4 linked regions of the Caenorhabditis elegans genome follow. The protein of the gene in region 4 purifies or fractionates together with the protein of the main gene of each other region. This does not show direct contact. Each region holds a gene or a part of one and is shown on either strand. Other genes may lie near its edges.

Region 1 (6,762 bases), 3.2 Mb from region 4:
TATATATGCTTGAATGTGCTTATTTTCGATGAAATAACTCTATTTTCGGTTCTTTTTTTTTACTATTTTAAGTCAATTAGATCCGCATCTCCAAAAAAAGTAACGAATAATTTAATTTTCCACGTCATCAATGGGAAAATGACAACAAATGAATTTTTGATGAGCTTTTTTTCTCCATTTTTGTGCCGCAACACTCACAACTCGTACGAGTGGCCAATGTTTAACGACCCGGCAGTAAAAAAGAGTAGAAGAACCGAGTTAATTCGCTTTTTTGTCCACGTTTTTTCTGTTCTCTCTTGTTAGAATCGAATGATCTACTTTTCGATATTTTTACCAAAAATGTTTTGAAATTTCGTGTTCAGTTGGCGCAATGAGTAGTGTGCACAGTTTGGTGTGAAAACTTTTTGGTTAAACTCCGGGTAGTGTTTTTTAATTTTTTTTCGTTAAATTTTTATTAGGAATTTTTCGAACTAAAAACGAAGTTTTGTCAGCTTTTAGCTCTTTAAGAAAATCAGAATAGCCACTCACCCCATTCGACGTTGGCACGCCACGACGAATCGGACAACACGTCGACAAAATCCGGAATACTGGCGAGCAGACGATTGCTCCGGTCGCCCACATGGTTGAATAATTGATTGTGGCGGTATCAGTGAGAAAATGTTATCAGTGAAATAAAAAAACGGGGAAAAATAGTTAAAATAGTGAGTTTCTAGGGTGTTTTCTCGCTACATAGTACGAAAATCGTGAATAATATAATTAAATTTCAGATTTTTCGAATTTTTTTGTCTGAAAAAATTTTGGAGCACAAAAATGTTCTTTCCTGTCGTTTTTCCATTCAAAAGCGCGGCTCCTCCCTCCTAAACGACCCGAAGGAGGCGGAGCAGTCTTGGTGTGGGTCTCGCCGCGACTTTGACACACGTGAAACGAGTGTGACCGTACCCGAGTGGCGGAGTGTTCTGCAAAAATTGCGTTTTTCTTCCTTTTGGCCTATTTTTCGATGGATTTTTGTGTTTTTTGTTGTTAAAAATTCGAAAATAAATGAATTTTTTGTTGGAAATCAAAATTTCGTGCATTTTCTCACCAAAAACGTCAACATTTTGCTAAAATCGCCCGTATTTTCTGCCTCTTGGCCGAAAATCAAGTTTTTCGATCTATTTTCCATATTTTTGCAAGGAAAACGATTGTTTCCGTAATTATAAGTAGCAGAATTAAATTAGAAGTTTTGTAACTAGTTCTTCTGGAAAGATTTCGAAAAATAACGAAATTTTACGGAAAATGCTGTTGTTGCTTTAATTATCGATTTTTTGACGCATTTCGCTTTTTTTCTCACCGTCTTCTTGTTTTCCGCTTTTTTCCTCCGTTTACAGCTTTTTCGAAACATTTTGCATTCTGAGATGTTAATTTTGTTTCCATTTCAGCTCTCGACAATGGGTTTCCAAAATTTGTGGTTCTCTCACCCACGCAAGTTCGGACCAGGATCCCGCTCCTGGTAAGTATTATTTTCATCAAAAATTTCGAATGCAGATGTCCATTACGAAAAGGCTCTTTACCTTTTGACGTTTAGTTAAATTTGCGAAATAAAATTGATGTCTCGAAGACATGTGCTTCATATTTTGATGCTCATGTTCAAGATCAGCAAACAAACCTGAACTTGGTGTATTTCAAATACATTTATCTGAATTTTTCAGCCGCGTCTGCGCTGGACACCACGGACTTATCCGCAAGTACGGCCTCGATCTCTGCCGTAGATGCTTCCGCGAGCAAGCCAGAGACATCGGATTCAAGAAGGTAAATTTAACTAGATTATGCAAAAAAGGAACCTTATCCAACTAAAATAATATTTAAAAGTTCAAGTAGGATGAGCAGATGTCCATTACGCGAATGCCTGTGCTTTTCGACGTTTAGTTTAGTCTGCAAGATAGAATTGATGTCTCGAAGACAGGTACATCAGCTTTTAGAGTTCCTGTTCAAGATCAGCAAACAAACCTGAACTTACTGCAAATATACTTTAAAATAAATAAGTATTTTATTATCTGTCAACTTATTTTTTTTTCAGCTTGATTGAGCAACCAGCGTCCACGTCTGCAACCGCCTCGTCAAATCTTGTTATTGTTAACTTCATGTCTTCAATCAATAAATTGTTGGCATAATGTCTATGTTATAATTTTATGTGAATAATAAAACAAACGGTTCAAATCTGGAGGAGGACTACTTTTTTATTGGGGAAGGGATAGTAGAAACCGTTCAATTGTAGCAGATGGATCCAGTAGAAGCAGGTGATTGGATAGCCGGTCGGCCACTTCAACTTGTCTTCCTGTCGGGATTAAATCCAGTGAATAAGCCAGCTCACAACAGTATCGTCAATGTCTTCCGGTACATTGAAACATGAAGAACTTCCTCAAACGCCAAAAATAATTTAGAAACCGCACAGCCGACAAACCACCACTTCATATTCGCGTAGTTTCCGGAGAATTGGATATTCCACCGAAACGGGAGACTGGGTCAGGAAAAGGTGCCAGAAACTGACAAAATATCGATTAAAAACGTCGATTTTCCAGGAATTCTCCGCCGTGAGTGGCCTCAAAAGTATCTGGATAAGGTACCGGCACTGATTGTCGTGTTCATTGATTTAGAATGGGATCATCCATCTTGGGAAGAGAAGAAGACTGAAGCAGAGAGCAAAGTTGCAAGTATAAGAGGATCGCTGCGTCATGGGACGAAAATTGCGCTCGTTTTGATTCAGCAAAAGTGAGGAAATGCTGAAAAAAAACGGTCATTTCCATGAAATTTCCGTAAAAAGTGACTAAATATGCCGATTTCCGTGTTATTTTTTCATGAAAAATGGTGATTTGATTGTAATTTTCCATTAAAAACTACAGAAACTGGCAATTTTCGTAGAATTTTGTGGAAAAATGACCGAAAAGGGTGATTTTCGTGTAATTTTCCTGTAAATACGCCCGAAAAAGCTGAGCATGACTATTTCCATGCGATTTTTCATAAAAATGACTAAAAGTTTTGATTTTATTGTAGTTTTCAATTAAAATGACAGGAAATTGCAATTTTCATAGAATTTCGTTGAAAAATGACAAAAATTTCCATTTTTCATGCGAATTTTTCATGAAAACTGACTAAAGTTGCTTTTTTCTGTGAATTTTTCTGTAAAAACGCCCGAAAAAGCTTTTTTAATGAAAAATTTCTAAAAAGTGTGATTTGTTTATAATTTTGTTAGAAAAACCACAAAAAAAAATCGAAATTTTCAAAAAAACTTTTTTTTTTGAAAAAAGCTTGAGAGCTAGAAATCAAAAAGAAATTATAGAAAAGCTGCGAAGAAACTCTTTTTAAAAAATTAAATTGTTCACAAAAAAAATCACAGAAAGCTGTGAGAAATCCCTTAATTTCAACAATTTTCCAGATCAACAAGCATCAGTGACAATCTGGCAGCAGACAGAGCTCACGAACTTTGCCAAGCATGTTCCCTCTCGTCAAAACAACTTTTCATACTTCCCGCGGACAATTTATTGGCTCCGAATACCACAAATCTGCAGAATTTCGCGTTAAAACTCGAGCTAGCATTCCATGAACTGTGCCAAGCATTCTATCAACAAAGATTGAAAACTATTCGATCTAGAAATATTCCGAATAACTCGCCGGCGTTAGTCGTACGACAACAATTCAAATTGGCGTTTCTGTCAGAACTCAGACAGGATACTCATACAGCATTGAGAAATTATCGATTGGCTTATGATCAATGTCGGGATACAGTTGAACAATGGGATGGAGTCGATGTTTTTGAGTGGAGAAGTGTTGTTGGATTGCTTAATTATAAGGTACAGCAGGGATTGCTGAAAACCAAGAATTCCGTTATTAGTACTAGGGGTGTCCGATTGCCGGAAATTTTGAAAACCGGCAATGGCCGAAATTGCCGATTGACGCAAATATAAATTTGATACTTTTTGTAGTTTTAGGAGCTTAAACATGCATTTTACTGAACAATGTTCTCTTTTTAAGCTCAAAATGGCTTAATCCTTTAAGGGTTGCAAAAGGTGAAATTTTTTCAAATTCCGATTTATATTTATTTTCGAAAATTGCCGCGCACCCCTGAGCTGAATTCAGTGTATTTTTTCGAAACTTTGAACCCATTTTGGGTTTATTCGTTCAAAATCGTCCGAACCGTTAATTCTCGTTCAAAAAATCACATCAACAACAAAATATATGCTTTAAATAAAACATAACATAATTATTATTATTTTAATTGCAATTAAATTTTCAGATGTGCGAATTATGTTTCCTCCACAGTACGGCACTCGAAGCAATCAATCAAATGCGACGTCACACGACAGTATTCTTCTCTTCATCACCGGGAATCTATCCAACACCACATCTTGCTTCAATTGAACTTTTGCTCTGGAAATCCAAGCAATGTTATCAATTTGCACATTTATTCGAGAGATCAGTTGCCGGCGGACTATCGGCACTTGCCACTTTGAATCCTGGAACACATTTGGATCAAGCTGCTAGTATTTATTCCGCTGCGAATACTGAAATTGCTGCGTTGAAGAGAAGTGAGGTTTAGCACGAATTGTTGATACTTCTGAAAAGATGTACCAAATTTTAGTTCTAATTTGAAATTTTTATAATGGTGAAGCCTTTAAAAATATAAAATTTTGAAAAATGTGTTTTTATTCTACTAAACGGAAATTTACAAAATCAGACAATCAATTACCGTTCGCCACATTTTTTTGTCAACAAATTCCGCAAATTGTCAATTTGCCGATTTGCCGGATATCAGATTTGCCGGAAATGTTTAGAGGGATTTTTTAAAAAGACGGAAACACTTAAAACTGTGCCTTTTTGAAATTGTTTTCCCGTTTATTTTCTAATTTCCAGATGCTCCACAAAATGTGCCATACCCATCCCCAGATCCATTGGCAAACTCTTCCAGTACTGTATTTTTCGGCCAACGTCCATGGAGAATAAATCATGAAGGATTGGCAACTGCAGAAGTTGAAGCTGCTGCAGTTACAGCAATTATTCAAAGGCTTGTAGTCAATCATGAAGGTGTAATTTCATTGTTATCAGCTGCATTGGCTCAATATCAGAAATATGGATGTTTGAGAATGAAGAAGAAGGTTATGATGGAGGTAATTACAGTTTGAATCATTTTCCGGCAAATCGGCAAACCGGCAATCTGGTTTTGCACATTCTTTTGGAAGTTTTAATTTCAATTTTTGAGCGGCAAAATTGCACGCATCCTGGCAATTTGCCGAAAATGAAAAATTCCGGCAAACCGACAAGTTGCCTGAATTAAAAAGTTCCGGCAAATCGACAAACCGGTAATTCCCACCTACACCTGTTTTGATACGGCAAATTGTTGTCAAAGGCAAAAATATGTACTGTAATTCTATTAGGACTGTAATTTTATTGTTCTGATATTTCCAAATTCTATGAAATTCCAGATGGCTAACACATGCTACGCAAACAACGAAATCCAGCGGGCTCTGCGGTTCTGGGGACTCGTAGTAAAAGATAATGCTCTACCGTACTCTATTCGTAAGGATATGATGCATCGTGCCACGTGGGCCGCCTACGCAATCACCAGTATTCAAGACTACGCAGTATGCTGTATGCAGTTAATGTGTCCCGCATATTCAGAAGTTCTTCCCTCGGATTGTGTTAAAGGCCTTTTAGATGTTCTCGACGGAAAACCACCTGGATCACCGTTTCCAAACGATGATATCTCACAAGAGCAGGTAAATCCCCACCCGGAAACCGGATATTAAAACACAATAAATGCGCATTCTTTTGTGTTTGTTATCCAAAAATAATTTTCAATATCCGGCGCTGTACTGGCTATCCGGCTATTAAGCACAATGCACATATATGTGCATAAACAACCTTGTCCACTCCTGCAAGAGAACAAAAGTTCGGAACACTAGAGATCAGACTACAAGTATACTGAATTTAATAAGAAACTAGAATTTTCTCCCAACAAAGGACCATAAGTGCCAAAATTAGGTTCTTAAAAGGGAGAGTAGAGTTTCTGGGTATTTTGCTTAAATAGACTAAAACTGGAACAAAACCACTAAAATTCATAATGAGACTTGACGAAAAAAATTTCAAAAATTTTTTATGGCGGGTAAAAATTTCGAAAAAAGGCAAATTTTTTGCTTAATCTGAAATTTCGCCCACTTTTCTTTATGGTAGCCATTGGAATTTATCTTTTCTGAAATTATCACCCTTTAATCCATATTGTAGTAATTTATCTGTTGTAAATTCCTTGATTGAGACACACTTTGAGTTGATAAGAATCCAATTTTTTTGATAATTTTTGGATCAAAGCAATTAAAGTAAGTGTCTCAATCAAGGGATTTACAGGAGATAAAATGTCAAAGTATGGATTAAAAAGTGATAATTTCAGAAAAGTTTAATTCCAATGGCTGCGACAAAGAAAAGTTAGCGACATTTCAGATTAAGCAAAATGCAAAACGTGGCTCTTTTTTTTCGAAATTTTTGCGCGCCATAAAAGTTTTTGGGCATTTTTTGTGAAATCTAATTAGGAAATTCGGTCGCTTTGTTCCAGTTTTAGTCTATTTGAGCAAAATACTTACAAACTCTACTCCCCCTTTAAAAATACTGTTTATAATTTCTAGTATACTGTATGCTTTAAAAATTGTCAAATGTATCTAGTAATTATTAAATCTCCAGCTCCACACATACCAACTCCAATGGCAGCATGTGCTTCAAGAACACCCGGCATTTGTA
Region 2 (5,191 bases), on a different chromosome or scaffold from region 4:
CATTCCAGACTGAGTTTCGAACAATTCAAAGTATGAAGACTGTCTCTAAAAGAGTACAACATTTTATTCAGTTGTACCAAAGGTACATGTTGCCCATCCCGATTCGTCAGATGTTTGTTACTCCTGTAAGTACATTGTCATGTTGATTGATGTTTTGACTTCAAATTTAGGAAAAGATAAGTTTCACATTAGCAAACTCGAATGAAATCAACACTATCAATCATGATGACATGGATAAATATCTTCGTGGTGCTAAAGTGGATTTACTTTGGCTAGAGATGGTGAGTATAATTAAAGTTTCAAGAAATCAAATATTCAATGTTACTTCTCCAGAATGGAAGTGAAGATGAACCTATTGAATTTCTTCAAAAAGTTATTCAAAAAACAAATTTCACTAGAATTGATTGTTTGAAATTGGGAAGCTCAAAAGTTGAGTGTGACGTCACAAAATTGGAAAATTGCATGGCAAGTTTGGTGTGTGCAGAACTAATTGTTGACTGGAGATTCAGAGTTCCTGAGGATTTTTTCAATGAACTTCATGTTGAGAAGGTTTGTATTGAAAGGAAATTTCAATAGTTTTACCAATTTTATTTTGAAGTTAACTCGATTAACGATTGGAAATCAGGAATCTAGAAACTTCTACCACCCACTTTCGGGAGATCACTTCAGAAAGTTCAGAGGAGATTGGTTGGAAATTGGGCAAAATCGTCTCAGAAGTTCAGATATATCTACCTTCCTAAAAGTATGTTTCTGTGGAATTTGATTAATCACTCCATTTATTCGAATTTCAGAATTGGAAATTGGGCTCCATTTCTTGGATTGAAATGTACAACATTGTCATTAGTTTTCCAATTCCCGAATTATTGATTTTACTGAAAAATGAGAGTTGCCAGAAAACACCAACGACGTGGAAAGTGTCTCGGGATCTAGACGAAGGAAAAGAGGAACTTGAAATTGGATTCTTCAAAAGTACAAACTTCTCGAAACAGCCATCATTGGTTATAAGGCAATTGAAAATTTTAGAATATTTGTGGTGAATTTTGGTATCTTGTTTTGGAATAAGTTTTCATGATAAACAATGTGTATAAAAAAAGTGATCGAAGGCGATTATGATTTCTTTTTTTTTTCTTGCCTCCAACATAACCGCAGCAAGATATGTTCGGAATTTTTTAATGGAATTTTTTATAAGACTTCTTTCTATGATTTGCATCCAAAAAATATGAATTTTGAGCTTCTTCGTCACTTTTGGTATTTCACTGAGCATCAACTCAGAGCGTTGGCGTGTGATACGGAGCCTTTAAAACACATTATCCTTACAACAAATGATCTCTCACTTCCGATATTTGTGTTTTTTAATGGCAAACAAACACATATATTGATAAAGATATTTATTTTCTGAAATGAAATGGAATACATGGTAAAATAATTCTAGTTTAATTTGCATATAACATTATTTATTTTATGGTGAGCGATCACTTTGGGAACGCCTTGGTGTGGACTCCAGTAGCAATCATTGCATTGTCCCTTTTACGATAGAGTTCTGCCTGAAATAAAACACTTTTGTAATCAGAAATATTCAAGAATAAAAAAATATGATACCTTAGTGAATCCAAGAGAGCGCCCCTGTTTGATGACAGTAGAGTTGAGTACAAGAGTTTCTCCGATGTTTGCAGCTGTCAAGTATCTGGAAGTTACGATGATCATAAATATTTTCTCCTGAATTTCTGGCATTATTAGTTTACGAAAATGAACGATTATAAAGCTAAAATATAGGTATGGGGGTACTAGAATGAGCGAAACTTTTCAGTTACCGTACTCGTGAGTACGGTAGATTTCTCTTTTTTGTTGGTTTTGCAATAAATCTGTAGTTTTAAATTAAAGGTTGGAATGGAAAAATTAGAAAACATTAGAAAAAGTTCGTTGGTACCGTAGCTGAGAACATTTCGGTCGTGGTGGGACCCCACACTGAATTTTGGCTTAAATATTGCACTTGTTCGCAAGACTTATATGTTTCAAATCATTGCATAATCTAGGAAACCTCTATTTAGATATAGATACTCACGTAATATGCAAATCCACTGAAACACCAGGCCTCGCTTCCTTTGTGAGTAGAAGAGCACCAGTTGTGAAACAATCGATAAGTGCTGCTGTACATCCACCATGAAGTGTCTCGAATTGATTTGTCTGATCCTTTTCAACTTCGAATTCCACTCGTAGATTTCCTTCCTCCGCATGAACTGCTCTCACATTCCGTGCTCCAGCCGCATAACCGAATTGTCCTTTTGTCCCGAACATTTTGATCACTTCCTTCGCAATTTGCATGTATTTTGATGCCATTTTCAAGCAATCTTAGAAAAAATATATGATTTAAAAATATTTGTTTCAAAACAAAAATCTCATAACCACGTAGACTTGCGTGGATTCTCTTACCATCAAAACATGTACAGAGTACTCGGATTAAAACGAGTATTTATGGAAAATTGGAAAAAAAACAAGAATTCTTTACAATTTTATTGCGGAATAATAGTTTTGTACACAAGGGAAATGTTTTTCAAAACGATCAAATTAGAAATTGTGTCTAGGAATTATGTTTAGGAGGTATTCCAGACACGAAATTTTGCGATTTTTGGGCAGAAATCACGGTAGCCGGTCTCGACACGAAAACTTTTTTTATAACGGGAAAAGGTGTGTGCGCCATTAAAGTTTACTGGAAATTCCAACTCTTGATTTTTTTTCGCGATTTTCTGAAAAAAAAAAGTTTTAATTGATGTATGGGAGTTTTAAAATAAATTAATAAATGTTTTTTTTATCGAAAATTGATGGGAAATTGTTGAAAAATCAATGAAATTTCAACAACAACGAGAGTCTAAAATTACAGTACTCATCAAAGAAGCACACCTTTTTTCATTTAACCAAAACATTTTGTGTCGAGACCGGATACCGTATTTTTGGCGCACGGATCGCAAATTTCCATGTCTTGGAATATATTGATTAGTTTGCTTTCTTCACAGTTGGGAATGCTTTGGTATGTACTCCAGTTGCAATCATTACATTATCACTTTTACGGTAGAGTTCTGCCTGGAAAAAAATAATATTTTTAAAACTTTTCTTAAAGTTTACCTTTGTGAATGCAAGAGTTTTTCCTTGTTTGATGACGGTGGAGTCGAGCACAAGGGTCTCACCAATTTTAGCGGCGGTCAGGTATCTAAAAATCTATCAAATTCGACAATTTTCTTCTCTCTTTACGTACGTAACATGCAAATCAACAGATACTCCTGGCCTAGCTGGTTTTGTGAGAAGAAGAGCCCCAGTAGTGAAAATATCAATGAGCGTAGATGTACATCCACCGTGAAGAGTGTTAAAATGGTTTGACTGATCTTTCTCAACTTCAAATTCCACTCGTAGATTTCCTTCCTCCGCATGAACTGCTCTCACATTTCCTGCTCCGGAAACACATCCGAATTGACCCTTGGTTCCATAATTTTTGATGATTTCCTTCGCCAATTGCATGTATTTTGAAGGCATTTTGATTTAATCTGAAAATGGATTAACATCTTAAAAATTTAGAACAATTTATCCCCCAGACGCGAAATCTTGGGTCCAAAATGCGGCACCAGGTCTCGACACTTACAGTACTCTTTAAAGGCACACCCTCGTTTTTATCTCACAAAAAAAGCGTGGCGAGACCTAATACCTTTTTTTTCTGCCCGAAAATCGAAAATGTTCGCGTATGTGTAATATTTAAATTGGCACTGATAATTCACCAAGCGGATATGTTCAAAACGATAAGAGAAAGTTCTTCATGAATCTTTATGGAACCGAAAATACGAATACAACCCATACTTAGAAACACACGGGTATTTAATAAATAAAGAAAGACCGAATTTCAAAACAAAAAAATTAAGGTGTGAGGGAATACATTGAACAGATTTAATACTATTTGAATTTGCAAATTTCTCCAAATTTTCTTATTTCTTCTTTTTCACCGCCAACTCGGTTCCTTTCATAAATTTCTTGTCGATTCCATACGATTTTATCAGAAGATCAGCGATAAAATGAATTTGATTTCCTTGAACGAGTACTTGAGGACCTTCGACGCCAGGAACTTCCCATTGACTTGTAACACTAGTAGCCACACCAGTCTGAAAATTCAGAAATTAGTATTTAAGGATTAGCCACCAACTACCTGAATTTGATGGCAAATCGTTCGAATGTCAATTCCAAACATCGCTAATCCATTTAAAAGAGTAACTTTTTTGTTTCCAGCACGGTTTTCGATCTTGAATTCAACTCTCGGTGGAGATACTTTTCTGACTATTTCTCTGCCGTCAGGCCATCTTATGTGCCATGTTGCAGTCATTCTTGAATGGATTTCTTTCATCAAATTTGCCCATGGAGTTGTATCCGTTTGGATTTTAGTGACCGAAAAGATAATTGGATCAAGACGAACTGATCCTCCAGCAGCAAGTTTCTAAAAACATCATTTACTATATATAAAGCGCGTGTCCTTCTGTCCCTATGTAGTTTGATCTCTGATCAGAGCAACGAAATTTTGGGAAACCTTATGCTAAATGCGCAGCAGACATCGATCGAGGTCCGCGATAGACTCCGTATATCTAATGTGTTTTCTCAAAAAAGTCGGGGGCCGCGCCGTAGGTGCGGTCCACGGCTGGTGACAATTATAACTGAATAAGAATTATAAGGAGACTTACGTTTTCATTTACATATTTTGTGACAAATTCTTTGATTTGTTTCACAGTCAGAAGATCCCCTTTTGAGCAGCCAGGGAACAACTTCAGCGTTGGTTCGGTAATTGCAAAATATTCAGCTATCACGGGAGCATCAAACTTGGCCTTCTCCGCTGGAGCTTCATCAACAATTCGTTCATCAGTTACTTCAAAATCGCGGAATAATTTGTTGGAAAAGTTCACATCAGCTACGATATCAGCTCCTTTTTTCTCTTTACTCGGCGTAATCTTGATGATCCACTCACTTTCTAGTTCATTTATTTCTTGAAGAAACGTAGCGAATTTCTTGAAATGTGTCTTTTTCATATCCAATCGTCGGCCATCTGGAACACAAGAGAGAACACATTGCGTATAGAATTGTCCAACATCCATTGGGAGTTGATTTCGAGTGAATCTATGTTTTAAGCCAGCTAGGAAACAACGTGTCAGAAGATTTTCCATAG
Region 3 (9,721 bases), on a different chromosome or scaffold from region 4:
TACTTTTGTATAGAAAATCATTTACTTACCATCTTCATAGTGCAAATTATATCACCCGCTTCATCTTCGTGATTACGATTCATTCGTGCAACAACACCAATGGGAACAAGCTCCGGTTCCAGGACGTTAAGTGCAACAAATGTGCTCATCGACCATGGATTTGGATATGCTGAAAATGAATATTTATGCTTATATTCTATAATTGAAGTCCAATTTACTCGTAATTTCTTCCATCAAATTGAAAATTGTATTCTTTGACCAAGGCAACACGTGTTTTAAGTTTCTGCACTGTATCAGAGCACACATTGCTCTTGATAACGGTTTTAACTCTTCAGCTTCTTCGGAAGTTACCACGGATAACAAAGACAATCGATGCCAGTGAATCACTTCTGAAACTCCAAAAATTATTATTCACTGAATTGTATGTCAAACCTTCATCATCTTGGATTGTGGTCGGAGAAAACAGAAGGTAGAAAAGTGCAGTCGGAAGTGCATTATGCGCTGTTTTGAAAACTTTCATCAAACTGCTCAAGAAATATTTATTAACACCATGAGCTGGGTCCGACGATCCATTATTCAAGAACAAATTCAATGTCTTTTTCCGCAACTGAAAATATTTAATATTTAAAACTGGAAAATATGTATGTTCTCCTAGATACAAACCTTCATCTCTTCGCGAAGAATTGGCATATTATCTAATTCTTCCAGCTCTCGATCCGTTTCGGGGGTGAAAAGAACAGCACTCAAGTCATCTTTCAGACCACTAACTAGCGCCAAGAGCATGGCAACGATGTCATCAATTTGCTCCAATACAATGTCTTCGTCTGGGCGATTTGTGAACTGATAAATTAATTTTTCAAAATAATCAAGGCATAACGAATAGTACCGCATGAATCATCTTGCCAAGTCCGGCAATCAGAGCACCTGACTCGTACGCCAGTGTCATAAACGATTTCAGACAATCTAGCCTCGCTTTCCATTCATAATTTATCGTCAGGCACCTCACGAGTTTTCCTGAAATTAACAAGAAAGTTTGAGACAAATCGTTGATGTTACTGACCCATATCAAAGAAGGGATCCAATGGTTTAGAACTTGGCGCAATGTCAATGTCTAACAGCCAGCGACGACGAAAAGCTCCACTTCTCATATATGCTCCGATTGTTTGATTCCAGCAGGAAGATGTCATTACCATGCGACTTAGAAGATTGTCTGAATAATTAATTCTACAAGTTAAATATATTTTACCACATACATGGTGTTCTTGTCAATATGTGGATGACGGCATCATAAGGTAGTTTACCGAAACTTCCATACGACGTCTCCACCTCAATCGACAATCTTGTAGTAAGCTTTGAACATACTTCTGGAATTAAAAATGTATGTTGGAGAATACTTGTGATTTTTTTACTGTGCTCATCGAGATGAAATGCTCGTTGATGATTAATAGCATCTGGCGATGAAAAAGGTAATCCATGTGTTTGCTGTGTTCTTCGTCTTTTACGAGAACATCGTTCCTCTGTGGCTGAATCTGTAAATGTAAACTCTGATTGAATGCGTTGAAGTGAAGAAGTACTACTTCTTTTTCTTAGAGACACTGAAGCATTGCGATGATTTTCTAGACTTTGTCTGGAAACTGGACTGTTTTGTGTTGTTCGATCAGCACTCCGCAAATTGTAAGTCCGCCTGGGTGTTGATTTATCCATTTTGGATTCTGAAAATGGCTTGATATTATCAAGTAATAGACCAGAAAGAACTTGACATTAAAAATATTTCACATAAATGATCAAAAACTAAAAAAACAAGAAAAAACAAAAAAAAATGAGGCAAAATATAGGTCACTCGCATTTAGGCGGGAATTCGAATTGATTTGAAATTTGAACACACCCCCACTACAGTACCCATAAAAGTCGTGGCGAGACCCATATGACAAAAGCAATGCGCCTTTAATTCGTTCTTTGGCTTCGATCGATTTTTCGGTTCTTTTCGAACTTTTCTTCACTTTCCTCTTTTTTAATCGATTATTTTGAAGCACTTGTTCATTTAAATTTTATTCCTTATAAATTAAACTGCTGCAGAAACTCAAAATCGTTTCCTTAACTTCATGGCTGTTAAAATCCGCCGTTATTTTCTGAATAATACGTTCGTTTAGTGGGCCGATAACTTCCTGCGGTTTTCTCATCGATTTGTTTGATTAAATTTTATTTGCAAGTTCATAATAAATGTATTTATAACCAATATTTGCGTTTTCGCGATTTTTTCGTATAATATGTCCCAATACTTATTTTGAGTTTGTTTCATGAAAGTTTTCGTATTCCTTTATCATTGGAGAAATAATCAAGTTCAGGCTGTTATCGTCTAGTTTTCATCTAACTCTTCATTTTTCTTTTCCCTCTCTTTTCCCCTCGAATTGTGGCCGAACTGAACAGTGGCTGTCGCTCCTTCTCTTCCATTTCTAATTTTTACTGCTCGCCAACCCCTAAATCTTTTATTTAATAATCAAATACATTTGAATATGTAGTTTTCATTTTATTATAACATTTGTATTAGTTCGAAAAATTATTCATTTAAACTTTCAAGTTTTCAGGCGATGGACTGCGACATAGCGTCGTATCATGTCGATTCATTCGATTTTCTTGTTTCAAAAGGATGTCAATTTGCTGCCCAAGCTGTTCCTGCAGAAAAATTCCGTCTGAAAAACGGCGATGCTGTTACAATGAAGTTCACGTCGGCTCAACTTCATAAGCCAACGCTAGATACCGGAGTAAGTATTTGATCTGCAATCTTAAATATTGAAAATTCTAAAAATCAATTTTCAGGCGAAGCTCACCAGTGACACTCTTCCTTTACTTCCCGCGGAATGTCGACAACGTGGACTGACATATGCTGGAAATTTAAAAGTTGGAATCGATGTCCATGTGAACGGAAGCCGGTTGGACATTATTGAAATTATTTTGGGAAAGGTAATTCTATAAATACTGCGTTGAAAGTAAGAATTGGGTCACCTTCCTTCGAAAAAGTTAAAAGTTAAGAAATAAAATACTTGTTTCGAGGTTAAATTTTCATTTTCTGAATTCTCCAAGCAAATATTAGAAAAAGAAAATACTATACAACAAAATATTTAGGTACCAATTATGCTCCGATCCGAAGGTTGCCATCTCCGTGGAATGTCTCGAAAGGAACTTGTAGTTGCCGGTGAAGAGCCAATCGAAAAAGGAGGATATTTCATTGTAAATGGATCAGAAAAAGTGATTAGATTGCTGATCGCGAATCGAAGAAACTTTCCAATCGCAATTATCAGAAAAACATTCAAAGAGAAAGGAAAATTGTTCTCGGAATTTGGAGTTATGATGAGAAGTGTTAAGGAAAATCATACGGCTGTAATGATGACTCTTCATTATTTGGACACTGGAACTATGCAGTTAGCACTTCAATTCAGACGGGAAATCTTTTATGTACCGTTGATGTATATTGTGAAGGCTTTAACTGATAAGAATGATGCAGTGATTAGTGCTGGATTCAAAAGAGGAAGAAATCAAGATCAATTCTATTCATCTTGCATTCTCAATATGCTTGCTCAATGTCAAGAAGAAGAAATTTTGAATCAAGAAGCCGCCATTAGAGCCATCGGTTCTCGTTTCAGAGTAGCCGTATCTGATAGAGTTGCTCCATGGGAAGATGATCTTGAAGCTGGTCGATTCATCATTCGGGAATGTGTACTTATACATTTGGATAGTGATGAAGAGAAATTCCATACTCTTGCGTACATGACACAGAAACTCATTGCACTTGTGAAAGGAGAATGTGCTCCAGAGACACCTGATAATCCACAATTCCAAGAGGCCTCTGTTTCAGGACATATTCTTTTGTTGATTCTGAGAGAACGAATGGAGAATATCATTGGAATGGTTAGGAGAAAATTGGAGTACATGAGTTCAAGGAAGGACTTCATTTTGACATCGTAAGTTCATTTACCAAAAATGTCCTAGAACTACCGATTTTTTAAAAATTAAGCATTCTGAAAATTTCTCAAAGAAGAATAGGCTATAATCTCAAATTTTGCCAATTTGTTAAAGTTGCCAAAGTACATTTTTATTTGATTATCACTCTTTAATGCATAATTTGGTAATTTATTATGTATTGTTCCGTTGTTTCGGAAGCTTTCTAACTGTAAGTCGACAATTTTGTGCACCCTTAGACGCACCTAAATCTACGTAAATGTACCTAATTCAATGAAACGACGACCAACATATGTATTAAAATATTTATTTGGTAGTTTTGGGTCATAAAAAAGAGCAAAGTCTCAGATTTCGGAGCTCTAACTTTTAAATCTTCCGTTTGGCATAAACATTCTAACTTTCAGCGCCGCTATTCTAAAAGCACTTGGAAATCATACTGGTGGTGAAATCACTCGTGGAATGGCATATTTCCTTGCAACAGGAAATCTTGTGACTCGTGTCGGTCTTGCTCTTCAACAAGAATCTGGTTTCTCAGTTATCGCTGAAAGAATCAATCAACTTCGTTTCGTTTCTCACTTCCGTGCAATTCATCGTGGTGCATTCTTTATGGAAATGCGAACCACAGATGTTAGAAAATTGAGACCAGAAGCATGGGGATTTATTTGTCCTGTACACACTCCTGATGGAGCTCCATGTGGTTTATTGAATCACGTAACTGCATCATGTAGAATTGTCACTGATCTCTCTGATAATTCAAATGTTCCGTCGCTTCTTGCTGAATTGGGAATGTATACACACAAAACTGTTGCATTGGCACCGCCAGGTGAAGAGGTAAAACAATTTATTAAAGTATAAAGCATATTTTAAAAATTTCCTTATATGAAAATAACACTTATTTCAGTTGAAATATTTGAAAAGGGCTCAGAAATAGCCTGGAAGTTGCAAATTGCAGAAAAACGAAGCTCGATAATTGGCAATCTGCAATTTCCAGGCAATTTTTAAGCTTTAAATGAAATAACCTTTAATAACTCTATTTTCAAATTTAAATCATAATTTACAGCTTTATCCAGTTCTAATGAATGGAAGATTCCTTGGATATGTTCCAATTACTAAAGCTGCTTCAATTGAGAGATATCTACGATGTGCAAAAGTTGCGAAAGATGCAAGAATTCCTTATACTTCGGAGGTACTGTTTTTCTAAACTATTTTGAAGAATGAATTATATTTTCTTTTTTTTTCAGATTGCACTTGTTCGTCGATCCACGGATATCAAGAATATTCAAACTCAATATCCAGGAATCTACATTCTCAGTGACGCTGGACGTCTCATTCGTCCAGTACGTAATCTAGCAATGGATGCTGTTGAACATATCGGAACTTTTGAACAAGTTTATCTCTCAGTTGTACTTGATCCAGAAGAGGCTGAACCAGGAGTCACTATGCATCAAGAATTGCATCCTTCTTGCTTATTTTCATTTGCTGGAAATTTAATTCCTTTCCCAGATCATAATCAGTCACCACGGTAAGTTTTCGTTAGAGTTTCCAGTTGTAGTAGTGGAGATTTAGTCTAAAAATATGACTTCAAAAAATTAGATTATTTTTAAATTTGCAAAATTTCTAAAAATTGGGACTTTTGAATCTTGATAGGTGAAAATTGAGTTTTCATCACTTTTTGACTTTAAATAAAAATAATTAAACGTTTTTCCAGTAATGTGTACCAATGTCAAATGGGTAAACAAACGATGGGAACCGCCGTACATGCATGGCATTCACGTGCTGACAACAAAATGTATCGTCTACAATTTCCACAACAACCAATGCTAAAACTGGAGGCTTATGAGAAATACGAAATGGATGAATATCCATTGGGTACAAATGCTTGTGTTGCTGTGATCTCCTATACAGGATATGATATGGAAGATGCTATGACAATCAATAAAGCATCATATCAAAGAGGTTTTGCACATGGAACAGTTATCAAAGTGGAGAGAATTAATTTGGTGACCGAGAGAGAACGAAAAACGATTTTCTATAGAAATCCCCGAGAAGAAATCAAAACCGTTGGACCAGATGGTTTGCCGATTCCAGGAAGACGATATTTCCTCGATGAAGTGTATTATGTCACATTCAATATGGAAACTGGAGATTTCAGAACTCATAAATTCCATTACGCTGAACCGGCATATTGTGGTTTGGTGAGAATTGTTGAACAAGGAGAAGGCGATTCTGGTGCAAAACATGCTTTGATTCAATGGAGAATTGAGAGAAATCCAATTATCGGTGATAAATTCGCTTCGAGACACGGACAAAAAGGAATTAATTCATTCCTATGGCCTGTTGAATCACTTCCATTCTCAGAAACCGGTATGGTACCTGATATTATTTTCAATCCTCACGGTTTCCCATCTCGGATGACAATCGGTATGATGATTGAGAGTATGGCTGGAAAAGCGGCAGCTACGCACGGAGAGAATTATGATGCATCGCCATTTGTTTTCAAGTAAGTTATTCACTGTTTGAAAATTTGAAAATAATTCTAAATCTCTAAAATTATTTTTCAAAATTAATTTTAAAAAATGGGCCGACTAATTTTTGAATTCCCGTGCAAATAAATATCAAATTGAAACACGGCTTGTCAATTTTTCTGACTTTTCCGTTAAAATAAATAATACATTCTTGTGGAAGTATCGATTTTTGGGCCAACTGTTTTTCAGATTCGACGAAGTTTTCTTTACGGAGAATGTCCTGAAAAATAGACTAACAGTGTTTAAAATTATATATTAAAAATAAAAACTGATCAATTTAACCAGTACCTTCAGTTTCGCGGAAATTCGAAAATAATTATTTTTTTGCAAAATAGAAAAATTTAAAAAAATTAGAAAAGTTTTTAACAGTTACAGTTACGTTTTTTCGATTCTTTTTCCATTTAACAATGTTTTGATTTTTCAGTGAAGACAACACAGCAATCAACCATTTTGGAGAATTACTCACAAAAGCAGGTTATAATTACTACGGTAACGAAACATTTTATTCGGGAGTTGATGGACGTCAAATGGAGGTTTATATTAGAATTTATCGTTTGAAAAATTAACATTTTTCATAATTACAGATGCAAATCTTCTTTGGAATTGTTTATTATCAAAGACTTCGTCATATGATTGCTGATAAATTCCAAGTGAGAGCCACTGGACCAATTGATCCAATTACTCATCAACCAGTAAAAGGAAGAAAAAAGGGAGGAGGTATTCGATTTGGAGAAATGGAAAGAGATGCTATTATTGCACATGGAACATCTTTCGTGTTGCAGGTACTTTTATTTCTATGTTTAAAAATAACACCGAAAATTTTTTAGATTTTTCTGTTTTTTTCAGGGAAAAAAACTGAAAAATCGGAAAAAAATGTTCAGAAAACTAAAAAAAAAGTTAATCTTAAAAGAAGAAAATTGGTCAAAGTTTACATCTGTTTTTTTTTTGAAAAATCGAAGTTTTGAACAAAATTGGAAAACTAGTAGTTTTCGATTTTTCAATACTCAAAAAAATCGAAAAAGCGACAACACTAACTTCATTGTACTGATATTTTAATTTCCAGGACCGTCTTCTCAACTGTTCGGATCGTGACGTAGCATACGCTTGTCGTCGTTGTGGATCCCTATTGTCCGTGTTGATGTCCAGTCGTGCAGGATCACATTTATTGAAAAAGAAAAGGAAAGACGACGAACCATTGGACTACACGGAAACTCAACGATGTCGTACGTGTGATAAAGATGATCAAGTTTTCCTGCTTCAAGTTCCTCGTGTCTTCCGTTATTTGACTGCCGAGTTAGCTGCAATGAATGTGAAAATCAAGTTGGGCATCGAACATCCATCCAAAGTAACTGGAAGTTAATTTCATTATTTTTTCAACATTTCCTTCATAATAGAAATACTGAAAACTTCATGCAGTTCTCTAAACTTTGATTTTTAAAAAATTTCTTTTACACTACACTTTAATATTCTCCGTCCCCTATCCTACAACAATCTCACGGTTTTTGTCTATTTTTTGTTATTTTCTCTTTGCAAGTTGTTTTATTGTTGAACCTTTTCTGAAATTTTTGATTTTTAGCCGATTTTAGCAATTTTTGTTACTTTTTTGTTTACCCTCATCCAATTTATTCTGTTTCTATTGTTCACTTTTTGTTTTGTTTTTTGTTTGAGTTTTTGTTCCTCAATATTCCATAAAGTTGTTGTTATACATTTTATATGTTTAAGTAAATCACATTAAGCACTCTGCAACCTTCCCCTCTCTCCACACACTTCTTTGATTTTTTTTGCTAAATTTCCGTTTTTCCGCGCACTGCCTCTTTTTCCACTCTCTCTTTGCTCTTGCTCTGTGCTCTTTCTGCTCCAATAAGCCCCTGGCGGCCATGTTCCCATTTTCCCCGCGCTCCCCCATACCTCTGTGCCTTTCTTTTTCATTTTTTTTTCGTGGGTGAAAACTTCCTAGGTTATGACGTGGCATGTTCAAGGAGCATCGAGAGCTTTTTTTCTGTTTTTATTTTGCGGCAGAAACGTGGAACGGCACGTTTTTGATGTGTAAAAATCATGTCAGCATTTTTTTGAGAACAAAACGGCGATGGAAAAGCGAAAAACGTGTAATTCGAGACGAGAAGCCATAAACCTCTTTTTTGCAGGCTGTTGCCACGGAGAAAGACAAAAATCAGCAGTTTTTTAAACTTTGAAACAACTTAATTTTTCTCTAATTTAGTATAGAAACTTCAGAAAGTTTATAGAAAATAGATTTCCAGATTTTCGAATAGTGTTCCCAAAGATTTGCATCATTCTTCTGAATATCTCGGAGCCCAATTGTATGATGCAAATTCTTTGGAATACGAATTTCGTCATTCTTCCCTTCACTTGCTCAATTTTCGTCAGAATATATTACAAAGACGCGAAATGTTGCGCTTTTCGCGCCAAGGTCTCACCACGACATAATTTTGTTAAATTCGAAATGCACGCACATTTTTGAATTCAACAAAAATATTTCGGGTCGAGACCGGGTACCGTACTTCTGGAGAAAAAGTTCGCGTCTGAGTGATCTTCAATAACCTCGGTTAATATATTCATTCAAAATCAATACCAATACTTTATATTCCAGCAAAAAAAAACTGTTCCCACGATTCAATATCGTTTATATATTTGCTTTTATAATTTTTTTCATTTTTCAAAAAATCGTTCTCCATATTTTTTGGCTTCTGAGAAATTTCAGACGATCATTTTTCGTTAGGATCTTCAGCTAAATTCTTATTGAAGAAGTTACAGGAATTGTTTCCATAGAGTCTCACAACGAGCTTTTTGACCCATAACCGTTCGGGCGTAGAATTTGATCGCGACGAGACCCAAGAAAAAGATGTGTGCACCTTTAAATTTTCTCACGAATAAACGATAATACTCAGAAAACTACAAAGTAATATCGAGAAAAATTTAAATAAAATTTCACAGTGGAAATAAGTTATACATTTCTTTTTTATAGTAGAAATTCATAATAAAACTCTCCATTCTCGACGGTTTTTTTTTGTTATTCTTAGCTTCAACCAATTAAAGCAAATTTTGAATCCAAAGAATACTAATTGTTTTATGAACTGTTTTAACGTAAACTACTTTGATAGAGAACGTGCCAAAAACAAGGTCCTAAAATTTTGATGTGCCCATCTGCGCACATCACATTTCGCAATGCTTTTCCCCATTTTGTCATGACGTCATACGTCGCCCCTCTGGGTCCCCTTTTC
Region 4 (9,143 bases):
CATGCCGAATGACTGCCTACATGGCGACCTAGGTTGTCCCCGTGCCTCCTCGCCTACCTACTTTTAAGAGTGTTAAAATACACGGATGTACCTTCTATATTTCTTTATTGAAACTGTGCAAAGATTATACATCAGAGTTCATACCAGAAAGTAAAAATTGGTTGTAGGTAGCATGAATGCCTTCGCAACCGATTTTTGAAATAAACCAAGATTTAGTTATTGAAAACTTTCCAAATCCAGTTGGAAAATACAAATTTTTTGTGTTGTGCTAACTTCATGCAAAGGAAAACATAACATGCAGAGAAAAAAATAATTCAAAAAAAATTAACGAAATATACAAAATATTTATTTACAACATAAAATGCATATCACACAAAAATTTACAAATATCATGCAAATATCTCCATGCTTTTTCTTACCATATCATTTTTCACTTCAACATCTGGTGGAATCGTAGCAGTTGCTGGATCAATATCCTCTTCATCTTCTTGCTCAGAAGCCAAACTCCGTTTGGGAATTGGTGCTGCTCTAGCGGTTCGTCTTTTCACTGGGGATAACGGAACAAACTCTTGTTCTGCATTTGGACCGACTGTTGATGGTTCAGCATACCTGATTTGATCGGGAATTCGTTCTCGAGATATGTCAATGTTTTGTGCTGAAATTCGGAGACTTAGTTGCAAAAAATCTTCTGATTTTTAAACCCCTATTTTATACCGAGAAACTATTCGAAATTTTTCTTTAAACTTTTTTTATTGTAAAAAAAACATGTCCTGGGTGGGTCTGGAATTATGACAAAAGGTTAGACCTTGCCTGCCTACTGCCTGCTCTGTTTTTCATTCCGTCATACCAGTTAATTTATTGGAAGTTAATTTGAAAACGTTTCACGTTACCGTTAGCAGCAGCAATGTATGTAGGTATCAGGCAGGCATTTCGTGGCTACTTGAAGGGCCTGACTAAAAACACATACCTTCACATATCCTGAGAATAAGTAGCAGAGCCAATGATATTACTGTTACCGTCGTCAATTGCCTCATTTTTGATTATGCATTAATGTTTTGATCTGGAAGCTGAAATTGATAAGATTATATACTTTTTGAGAAAATGTGATAAAATCAGAAGAAGCAATATTGTAGGGATTCATCGGATAACACGATCAGCTTAAGGACTTTGAGCTTTTATAAATTCAGGATTCTTCTTTTGAAAATATTTGAATATGTTTTGGCACATCCTATTCAAAATGTGCTCAAGGTTTAAGGGGAATGGTAAACAACAGGAAACACAATAATTTCCAATGCATATCCCTTTTTTCAAAAGGAGACACAACTTCTTTCAAAAAGTAGTTTTCGAGATTCTCTAAAAAAAAAATCAAAATCTTGGCAACAAAAAAGTGGAAAATAAGGGGAAGTCAATGGAAAGAAAAAGGGGAAAAAGTGCGTGGAGTTTGAATAGGCGTCCCTCCTTCCGTCCAAAAAAGGGGTGCTCTCACTGGTTGTGTAGAGCTCAAGAAAGGATATAAACGAGATGAAGGGAGAAAAGAGAAAAGAGTCGGATGGAGGAGAGTAATTGGTTTGACACGAGACAACAGACACAGGGGTTCATGTTTCGATGGATAATTATTGGGACCAATGAGTGATTTATTGAATGCTCTGAGGTTGTTGGAGAGAGTGTGTATCTTGAGATAATAAGATAAGGACAGAAAACATTGATGATATCAATCAAATGACTCTTATTAGTCTGATGACCGGTCACTACCTTTTTTTTTTAAATTTTTTTGGGTGTATCACAAACTTTGATCTTTTCACGATGCAAGTACACGATAATTTTGAACTTTGTTTCATTGATAAATGGCACGTATTGTTAGGAAAAGCCGAAATGTGGCAATTTTTCTAATGTGCTGTATTATGAGGAAGAATAGAAAACGCTCAGCCCCCGAACCATGGGTCTCGTTAGGTATTCGGTGGCAAAATTGTAAATTCAAATATTCTCAATTTAATACTGGAAACTGTAACTTTTTTTTGGCAAACCGCGACAGTTCGAGAATACGGTACCTGGTCTCGCCACGAAAATTTTAAAATATTTTTTTGGTTTTTTCGATAAACGTTAATAAAATAATAAGAGACACACAAAATTCATCAAATCGTGAGGAAAACTATGAAGATATTTGAAGTTACAGTACTTTTCAAGGCACACATGTTTTTGAATTTAACAAAAAATTTCGTGTCGAGACCGGTCACCGTTTATTTGAGACAAAAATCACAAAATTATACGCGTCTATAGACCTATAGGTAATATGAATTTTCAGAATTGGCTTCTTGGCGGAAAAAAACTGACTTTTGGAATAACAAGTATTGCGTTTTTGGGATATAATGAATGCACAAAAAGGATAATTTTGCATAAAAGAAAATATAACTAATTTTACAAAAAACCTGTGACCTATAGTGCCAAATCGATAAATTTCCAGACATACATATTGTTGAACAATTTTGTTCATTCAGTATTTTCTTTTAACTTTTCAGCGAATTATCGTTTCAAAGTTGTCATTGATCTATTTTCTAAAAGTATTCATGCAATGTAGTGAAGAATGCCAAATTAAATGAATAGATTTACTCTTTAAATACTGGAATAAACCAATTTTATCTTAATTTTCGGATTCTTCGTAGTTATTTTTCAGGATGAGCATGCAGGTTTGTGATTGTGTCATATTTTCTCATAATATCGAAAATTCTATAAAACTGATAATAAAAAACCGATAAAAGTGCAATAGACCTGCTTGTTTAAACAACAGTAATTCGAATGGCCACTTGTCGAGAATTGCGCCAGCTGCTGCACGGTAAGTGCGTCAGCGAGGGCCTTTGCGTTTTTTCAGTGCAGAATAATTTTATTTTTCTCGCGTATTTTTCTGATTTAAGTCTTCTTTTTTGATACTTTTGTTTGAAACATTACGAAATTTTATAAAATAAATTAATTAAAACAATTTAATCCTTTTGAACACTAATTTACTTCTGAAACAACAGTTTTAAACGACGCTCTTGAATTTCGAAACTCTTGAAAAATTGAAAATCTCAGAAATATTGCAATATTTCGCAATTTCCAGCAACTTGGGCTTGGCAATGACCGCATAAGCGCTAACGAAACACGCTTCCATCGAAACGATTCGAGGAAAGCGTTTCTTGTTGTGTACAGGTCTTGTTATTGTGAGTTTTCATTGATTTTTCCCCAATTCTTTTAAAGACAGGTTTTTTTTTTCAGAATTTGTTGCATATTCTGGTTGAATTTGTTTGGTTTTTCAATTAAATATTCGTCGAAAAATAATCATGAAGAGATCCACTGCTAATGCTCCAAAATTGTCTCCAAAACATGGTAAATTGTTTTAAATAAATCAATAATTAATATTTAAAATTAATTTAATTTCCAGAAAGCGAAAGTGATCCTAAGAAAGTGAAGCTTGAAGAAGAGGCGAAGCCAACCGTTAATCAAGCCCCAACTGGGCGGGAAATTGTTGAAAATTATCTGAAAGGAGATGTAACCGCTGCGGTTTTATATCGGAAAATCTGCAATGCACTGGAAACTTTCGAGCAATGGGAATCTGAAGCTCCGAAAATTCAGCTTTTAGATCAATTTCTGAATATCGCGGACGCCATGGAAGCGAGAACAGAGACACTTGTCAAAAGGCTTTTGGTTAGTTTAAATTTTAATTTTTGCGAAGTTATAAATGAAATTAAAATATATTCATATTTCAGAGTCTCCGATGGGATAAAATTCCTGGATCAGTGATTGAGAGATTCCGTAATTTTCTCTGCGAACTTGCGATCCGTCATCTTTGTTTCACAGAAGAAGTCTATTCTGCCGTCGTTGAACGACTTGTTCCCCAAATTTCAGTAACTGAAGAGACAGGAGTCGTAACTCTAATTCTCACAGAAAAAGTTCAAAATGAGCATTTTGAAATGGCTCATCATATCATTTCAAGTGTTCTCAGATGTTTTCCCCTCTCGGCTAGAGCTCTTCTGAAATGTGTGAAACGAGTTATGCCACATTTTACACGTCCATCTGTCACAGTGGCTGGCTATATGAGAAATCTCATTTTGATGCAGAAATACATTCCAGCAAGTATTTCCAAAGACGTTTGGGAAGCAGTTTTCGAACGGCTAGCTAAAGATGATGTGAGTATTCAAAAATCCTGAATTACTATATTAGGCTCAAATCGATCGAAAATTCTCCTAAATCAACAAAATAGCGTAGAAAACGAATTAAATGTTTTATAAATGGTTATAATTAATTACAAACGCATTTCTGGCCGTTTCTAAACTGAAGATTTTTTTTTCAACTTAAAATTGCTCTAAAAAAATTTTAAAACATTCTCATGACGTCTCATTATGAAATTCGGTTTTTCGATGGCAATTTGAGTCTAATATAGTTTCAGAATTTATAAAAATAACTTACTAAAAGCAAATTTATTACAGACACATAATTGGAAATGCGAGCAAAACGAAGAAATGAGCAAAAGTCCTCGACTATTCGCATTAAATGATGATATTCTAATAGAAGAAGTCGTTGAGGGAAATACAAATGATTCAGAAGATGTTACACCAGAACAATTGGAACAAAGAAAAGGAGAACAAATGATTCAATATTTGGACTCAGTGTGCACGGATGTTATCACATTCATTAGAAGCTCAGTTGATTCTGAAATAGACGAAGAAAATGGAAATGAACGAACAAAATTGAATGACAAATGGCTCAGAAACTTTAAAATCACTGGAGACAAAGTACTACCCAAGGAGAAGCTTTTTGACACATTTCTAGAATGTCTTGAATCGACAATGCTCAATGCAACTCATGTTCAATACGTCTCATTTATTTGGTTGTATTTTTGTTCGTTAAGCCAGGAATACGAGAAGAAAATGTTGGAGCATCTGTGGCAGGTGACCATTCGAATGCCAAGAGCCCCGGCTGATGCGAGAAAAAGTCAGGGAGCTGCTTCGTATTTGGCCGCTTTTTTGGCAAGAGCCAAATATGTCAAGAAGAGGTGAAGAGAGAGATTTTTAAAATTTAAAATATTATCCAGGCTCGAAATTTTAAGATTTTTGCGGCAAGTTTTTGTTAAATGTGAAAAGGTGTGTGCTTTTAAAGATTACTGTAACTTTAAACTTTCGTTGCTTTTTTATAAATCGATTTCTGTCACATTTTTTTGGATCAAAACATTTTTTTACTTTAAAGCTTAACAAATCGAAAAAATACGAAAAATCTGTTTTTAAAAAAATTCCAAAGAAACGAAAAATTTACAGTACTCTTTGAAGACACAAATTTGTTTGCATTTAACGAATATTTGTTTAATTTTTTTCAAAGATCACAAGATATCGTTTCTGAGTGGAGAATGAATGACAGAATATTAAATTAAAAATTATAGAATTTTTTTTTAATTTTAAAAGTGTGAATATGATTTGAAACATGGTTTTTCAAAAAGTATTCAGTAAGAAATTACGTTTTCCGTAAACATGTTTGAAATTACGTAATTTCAATTATTTATAACCAGCCGTGGACCGCACCTACGGCGCGCCTACGACTTTTTGAGAAAACACATTAGATATACGGTGTCTATCGCGGACCTCGATCGATGTCTGCTGCGCACTTAGCATAAGGTTTCCCAAAATTTCGTTGCTCTGATCAAAGATCAAACTACATAGGGATAGAAGGACACGCGCTTTATATAGTAAGTGATTTTTAAATCAATTTTAGAATTTCAGCAATTTTCTTTCGGTTTCACAAGTTTTTTTTGGAAAATAGTCTGAAAATTCGACAAACGATGTTTCAAAGAAAAACTAATGAAACTGTTGTGCAAAATTTTAGATTTTTTAGGAAAACTTAATAATTTTTCAAACGTAAATTCGTAATTACAGTTCTGAGATTTTTGCAGTTAATTTCATAATTTCAGCACTGCATTCACGTGGCTTGAAGAAGTGTACATTTGGCTCCGTCACTACGTTGATCAATTCGGTTCTGGAAGTTCTCAAATCCTTCCCGGACTTCAAAGACATGGAACATTTTACTCGGTTTCTCAAGCATTTTTCCTCGTCTTTGCGTTCAGATATAAGGAATTTGTCAAGAATAAAGGTAATTCTTATTTTAATTTGAAAAAATGATTTATTTACACTAAAATATTATTTCAGATATGCTGGAAACAATCCGTCGCTGGGGAGTTGGAAGAGTTGTGCATTCTCCGTTGGAGCCCCTGAAATACGTGTCAAAACCAGTTGCCAGATGCTTTTCAGCTATAACAAGGTATGACTGAAGTTACAAATCAAAAAAATGAAGTTACGAAGTTACAAATGGAAGCTTTATCACCAGAAAATTGAAATTTCTAATATTTCCTGCTGAAAAAATCACTGAAAAAGTTCCAGATCCTTGCAACTTGTCTACTGTAATCACATCATTCCAATTGAAGAAGTTCAACGACCATTTGATGATATGTTCCCATTTGATTGTTATCATTTGAAAGAGTCAGTTTTTTTCTGAATTTTATTGAGATTTTGCTTCAAAAAATCCTCTAATTCACAAAAATTACTGATAAAATCGGAAAAATCTGCGAAAGAATGAAAAATCCAAATTTCAAAAACGAGATTATTAAATTTTGGCTGAAGTCGTTTGAAAATAAGAGCTCCGCGACCGGTCGCCAGCTTGGAGGGAATTCAGCCGAAATTGAAAAACGCGTTTTTTTTTCGTTTTTCTCTGGTGGTTTTTCTGACTTAGAGACTATTTTGGAGTTTTTTTGAAGCTTAAATTCCCATTCAAACTACTCTACATTTAAGAAATTGAAATAAATCTTTAAATATTTTCAGAAGCAGCAAGTTCATGACTCCATTAATGCGAAAATTCTCTCCATTGGCGGAAGACATGTCTACACTTACAAAAGCATTGTGCTGGAATGCTGCGACGGCTGATAAATCAGAAAAGTCAGCAGAGGCAGTTTCAAGTTCAGAAGGTCTCGATTTCTTGGATGAAGATGATGCTATGATGATGGGTGGATCCTCAGGTAAATTTCGGAAAACAATCGATATGTGTACTTACACTAACTTTTACTTTTAACTTTTTAAAAAAATTTTATATTTTCAAAGCAACAAGTTTTTAAATGTTTGTTTCACTGCTAAATTCTACAATGGTTTCTTTAATTTTGCAAAAAGTATTTAATTGAATAAATTAATTTTAAATTCCCGGATAAACTTTCTGGGTTTTTACTTTTTTTTTCAGAAAATCCTGCAAACCTTAAAGATTGCGCTATAAGTTGTTAAGAACATTTTTTTTAATTTTTCATAAAAGTTTCAGATAAATTGGAAAACAATAAAAAACCAATAAATCTAGCCGGAAAGCGCAAAAATGTCAAAAAAATTATAGAAATTTAGAAACATATCTAAATAAGTTTTGATAGTAAAAATTAAATTTTTTTTTTCCAAATATCTCAATTTTCAGGATACCGCGAACGTACATTCTCCTGTGGACAAAGCTCGCTGATCAACTACTCGGCAACTCCTGGACTACAGACTTTCAACGTCTAAATAAATATCTGTTTTCCATATTTTATTGTTTTGTTGCTGATTTTCTCCATGTTTTCCTTCGTTTTTTTCTGGCATTTTCTTGAGTTACTTTTGTCGTTGATTTACCTCATTAAATTGTATTATATTAATTTTTTTTCCATTTTCATTTTCTCCCCGGGACTTTTACGCGAAAAAATTGTAGAAACTTCCCCGTAAACTTCCGTAGTCATTTTCCCCGATTTTTTTCTTGAATGTCATTCTCCATTCTCTGCTCCAGTCTTATCTTAGTTTCAATTGTTTAATTAAGACTTCCAAATCTATTAATCATTTTCCTTCAACGTTTAATTTAAATTTTTTACCCCGAAAAATCATAAAAATTCAAATGTTAGTCATGATTTGTCAGCTTATTTAGACATACCACTAATAGTAACGCGCGTAATCCCTCATCTTTTGAAAAAAAAAAACTAAAAGTTATGACGCAAAACCAAACTTTTTTAATCAAAAGTGTCAGAAGCAGAACTAAAATTAGAATAGGATTAGTAATTCGGATACAAAAAAAAATACTCTGAGAAAAATCTGAATTATTATGCGTCTTTATACTGGATTACGGTAACTTAACTTATTGAAAATATATTGGTCTTGACACGAGCGAAATTGTTCAGCTACCGTACCCACAGAAGCGTTGTTTCTTTTCGTTTTTGACAAAATTGCAGAGAATTAAAGCGAACAAATTGTATTCTTTTAATTTGAACATTTTGAATAATATTGAAAAGAAATCGCAAAAAAAATTGAGAAATACAAGTGGGTACTGTAGCTGAAAAGTTACGCTCGTGTCGGGACCCATTTTGATCTGAAAATCGCTCCTGTTTTCGCAGTGGATAGTATTTTTTCCCTTATTTACCCATTAAAGTTTCTACATGAAAAAGTTAATCTTTAATGTGCCGATTCACGCAGCTCGTGTACTCCACGAGGAGAAGCGGAGTTTACAGTTTTTGGAAAAATTGTTTAAGTTCATAAACTTTTTGTTGCTAATTTTTGGTTTTTTTTTTTCATTTATTTATTAATGTTATTTCATCAATTTCGTCATAAAAATCATAAAACCAATGGAAAACAAAAAAAAGAACCAAAACTGATTTGAAAAACATTTAAATTCACAATTTTCCTGCTAATACCTAACAAGACCCACAATTCGGGGGTGTAGCATTCTCAATTGGCCGTGGAGCGCGTTTTTACTTCAATTTAAAACAACTGCGTCCCCATAATATGAGAGTTTGGAATCCTAGTCATACTAAATTCTTGTTTATCACTATTTCTCACACCACAATTCAATTCTTTTACCTTTTTTATCCACAAGCATAACATTTCAAATCACACGCATACACAAAGGCACATGTTTCCGTTTTTTTATCCATTCCTTTTTTGAATATTTCTTCCTTCTCTCCCAAATGCCTTCTTTTGACTGAAAATGTCACTTCTCATTCCCCTTTTGCAGAAATCTAATCGGATCACGTCTTCTTCTTCATATTTTTCCCCACTAATAATATTGGGATTAGTTTGATATCAAAAAGATCGTGACGTTTTTTTTTGCTTTCCGGCTGGAATTTCCCAAAATAT

Evidence for each region.
Region 1: the proteins of tif-1A (region 4) and trpp-11 fractionate together in Caenorhabditis elegans (co-fractionation; one large-scale study listed by BioGRID). This does not show direct contact.
Region 2: the proteins of tif-1A (region 4) and C25H3.14 fractionate together in Caenorhabditis elegans (co-fractionation; one large-scale study listed by BioGRID). This does not show direct contact.
Region 3: the proteins of tif-1A (region 4) and rpoa-2 fractionate together in Caenorhabditis elegans (co-fractionation; one large-scale study listed by BioGRID). This does not show direct contact.

The regions. Positions count from the first base shown.
Region 1 is NC_003281.10:792,882-799,643, forward strand, and holds the start of trpp-11 (Trafficking protein particle complex subunit 11 domain-containing protein), read left to right. Parts: upstream 1-2,254; 5' UTR 2,255-2,257; coding exon 2,258-2,373; intron 2,374-2,420; coding exon 2,421-2,512; intron 2,513-2,558; coding exon 2,559-2,748; intron 2,749-3,412; coding exon 3,413-3,827; intron 3,828-4,270; coding exon 4,271-4,562; intron 4,563-4,887; coding exon 4,888-5,141; intron 5,142-5,456; coding exon 5,457-5,750; intron 5,751-6,705; coding exon 6,706-6,762. Other genes in the region: snt-2 (Synaptotagmin 2), read right to left, coding at 529-621; rps-29 (Small ribosomal subunit protein uS14), read left to right, coding at 1,428-1,489, 1,689-1,788, 2,057-2,065.
Region 2 is NC_003280.10:5,692,540-5,697,730, reverse strand, and holds C25H3.14 (Acyl-coenzyme A thioesterase 13), read right to left. Parts: upstream 2,349-5,191; 5' UTR 2,338-2,348; coding exon 2,063-2,337; intron 1,685-2,062; coding exon 1,600-1,684; intron 1,545-1,599; coding exon 1,473-1,544; 3' UTR 1,373-1,472; downstream 1-1,372. Other genes in the region: C25H3.10 (F-box domain-containing protein), read left to right, coding at 9-125, 171-281, 334-549, 599-742, 792-1,037; C25H3.3 (Acyl-coenzyme A thioesterase 13), read right to left, coding at 2,992-3,078, 3,121-3,205, 3,251-3,525; eif-2D (SUI1 domain-containing protein), read right to left, coding at 3,969-4,142, 4,187-4,471, 4,713-5,191.
Region 3 is NC_003279.8:9,279,430-9,289,150, reverse strand, and holds rpoa-2 (DNA-directed RNA polymerase I subunit RPA2 homolog), read left to right. Parts: upstream 1-2,574; 5' UTR 2,575-2,588; coding exon 2,589-2,762; intron 2,763-2,817; coding exon 2,818-2,961; intron 2,962-3,123; coding exon 3,124-3,959; intron 3,960-4,361; coding exon 4,362-4,788; intron 4,789-5,017; coding exon 5,018-5,143; intron 5,144-5,198; coding exon 5,199-5,479; intron 5,480-5,665; coding exon 5,666-6,457; intron 6,458-6,906; coding exon 6,907-7,015; intron 7,016-7,066; coding exon 7,067-7,264; intron 7,265-7,545; coding exon 7,546-7,842; 3' UTR 7,843-8,228; downstream 8,229-9,721. Other genes in the region: prom-1 (FBXO47 ARM repeats region domain-containing protein), read right to left, coding at 30-169, 219-389, 433-607, 664-840, 887-1,014, 1,061-1,210, 1,254-1,364, 1,410-1,529 and 1 more. UniProt on the Caenorhabditis elegans protein: DNA-dependent RNA polymerase catalyzes the transcription of DNA into RNA using the four ribonucleoside triphosphates as substrates. Second largest core component of RNA polymerase I which synthesizes ribosomal RNA precursors.
Region 4 is NC_003281.10:3,998,066-4,007,208, reverse strand, and holds tif-1A (RNA polymerase I-specific transcription initiation factor tif-1A), read left to right. Parts: upstream 1-3,094; 5' UTR 3,095-3,194; intron 3,195-3,249; 5' UTR 3,250-3,314; coding exon 3,315-3,360; intron 3,361-3,415; coding exon 3,416-3,678; intron 3,679-3,740; coding exon 3,741-4,160; intron 4,161-4,460; coding exon 4,461-5,026; intron 5,027-5,932; coding exon 5,933-6,111; intron 6,112-6,167; coding exon 6,168-6,279; intron 6,280-6,398; coding exon 6,399-6,497; intron 6,498-6,836; coding exon 6,837-7,030; intron 7,031-7,464; coding exon 7,465-7,550; 3' UTR 7,551-7,923; downstream 7,924-9,143. Other genes in the region: pxd-1 (PSI domain-containing protein), read right to left, coding at 420-655, 968-1,034. UniProt on the Caenorhabditis elegans protein: Required for efficient transcription initiation by RNA polymerase I (Pol I).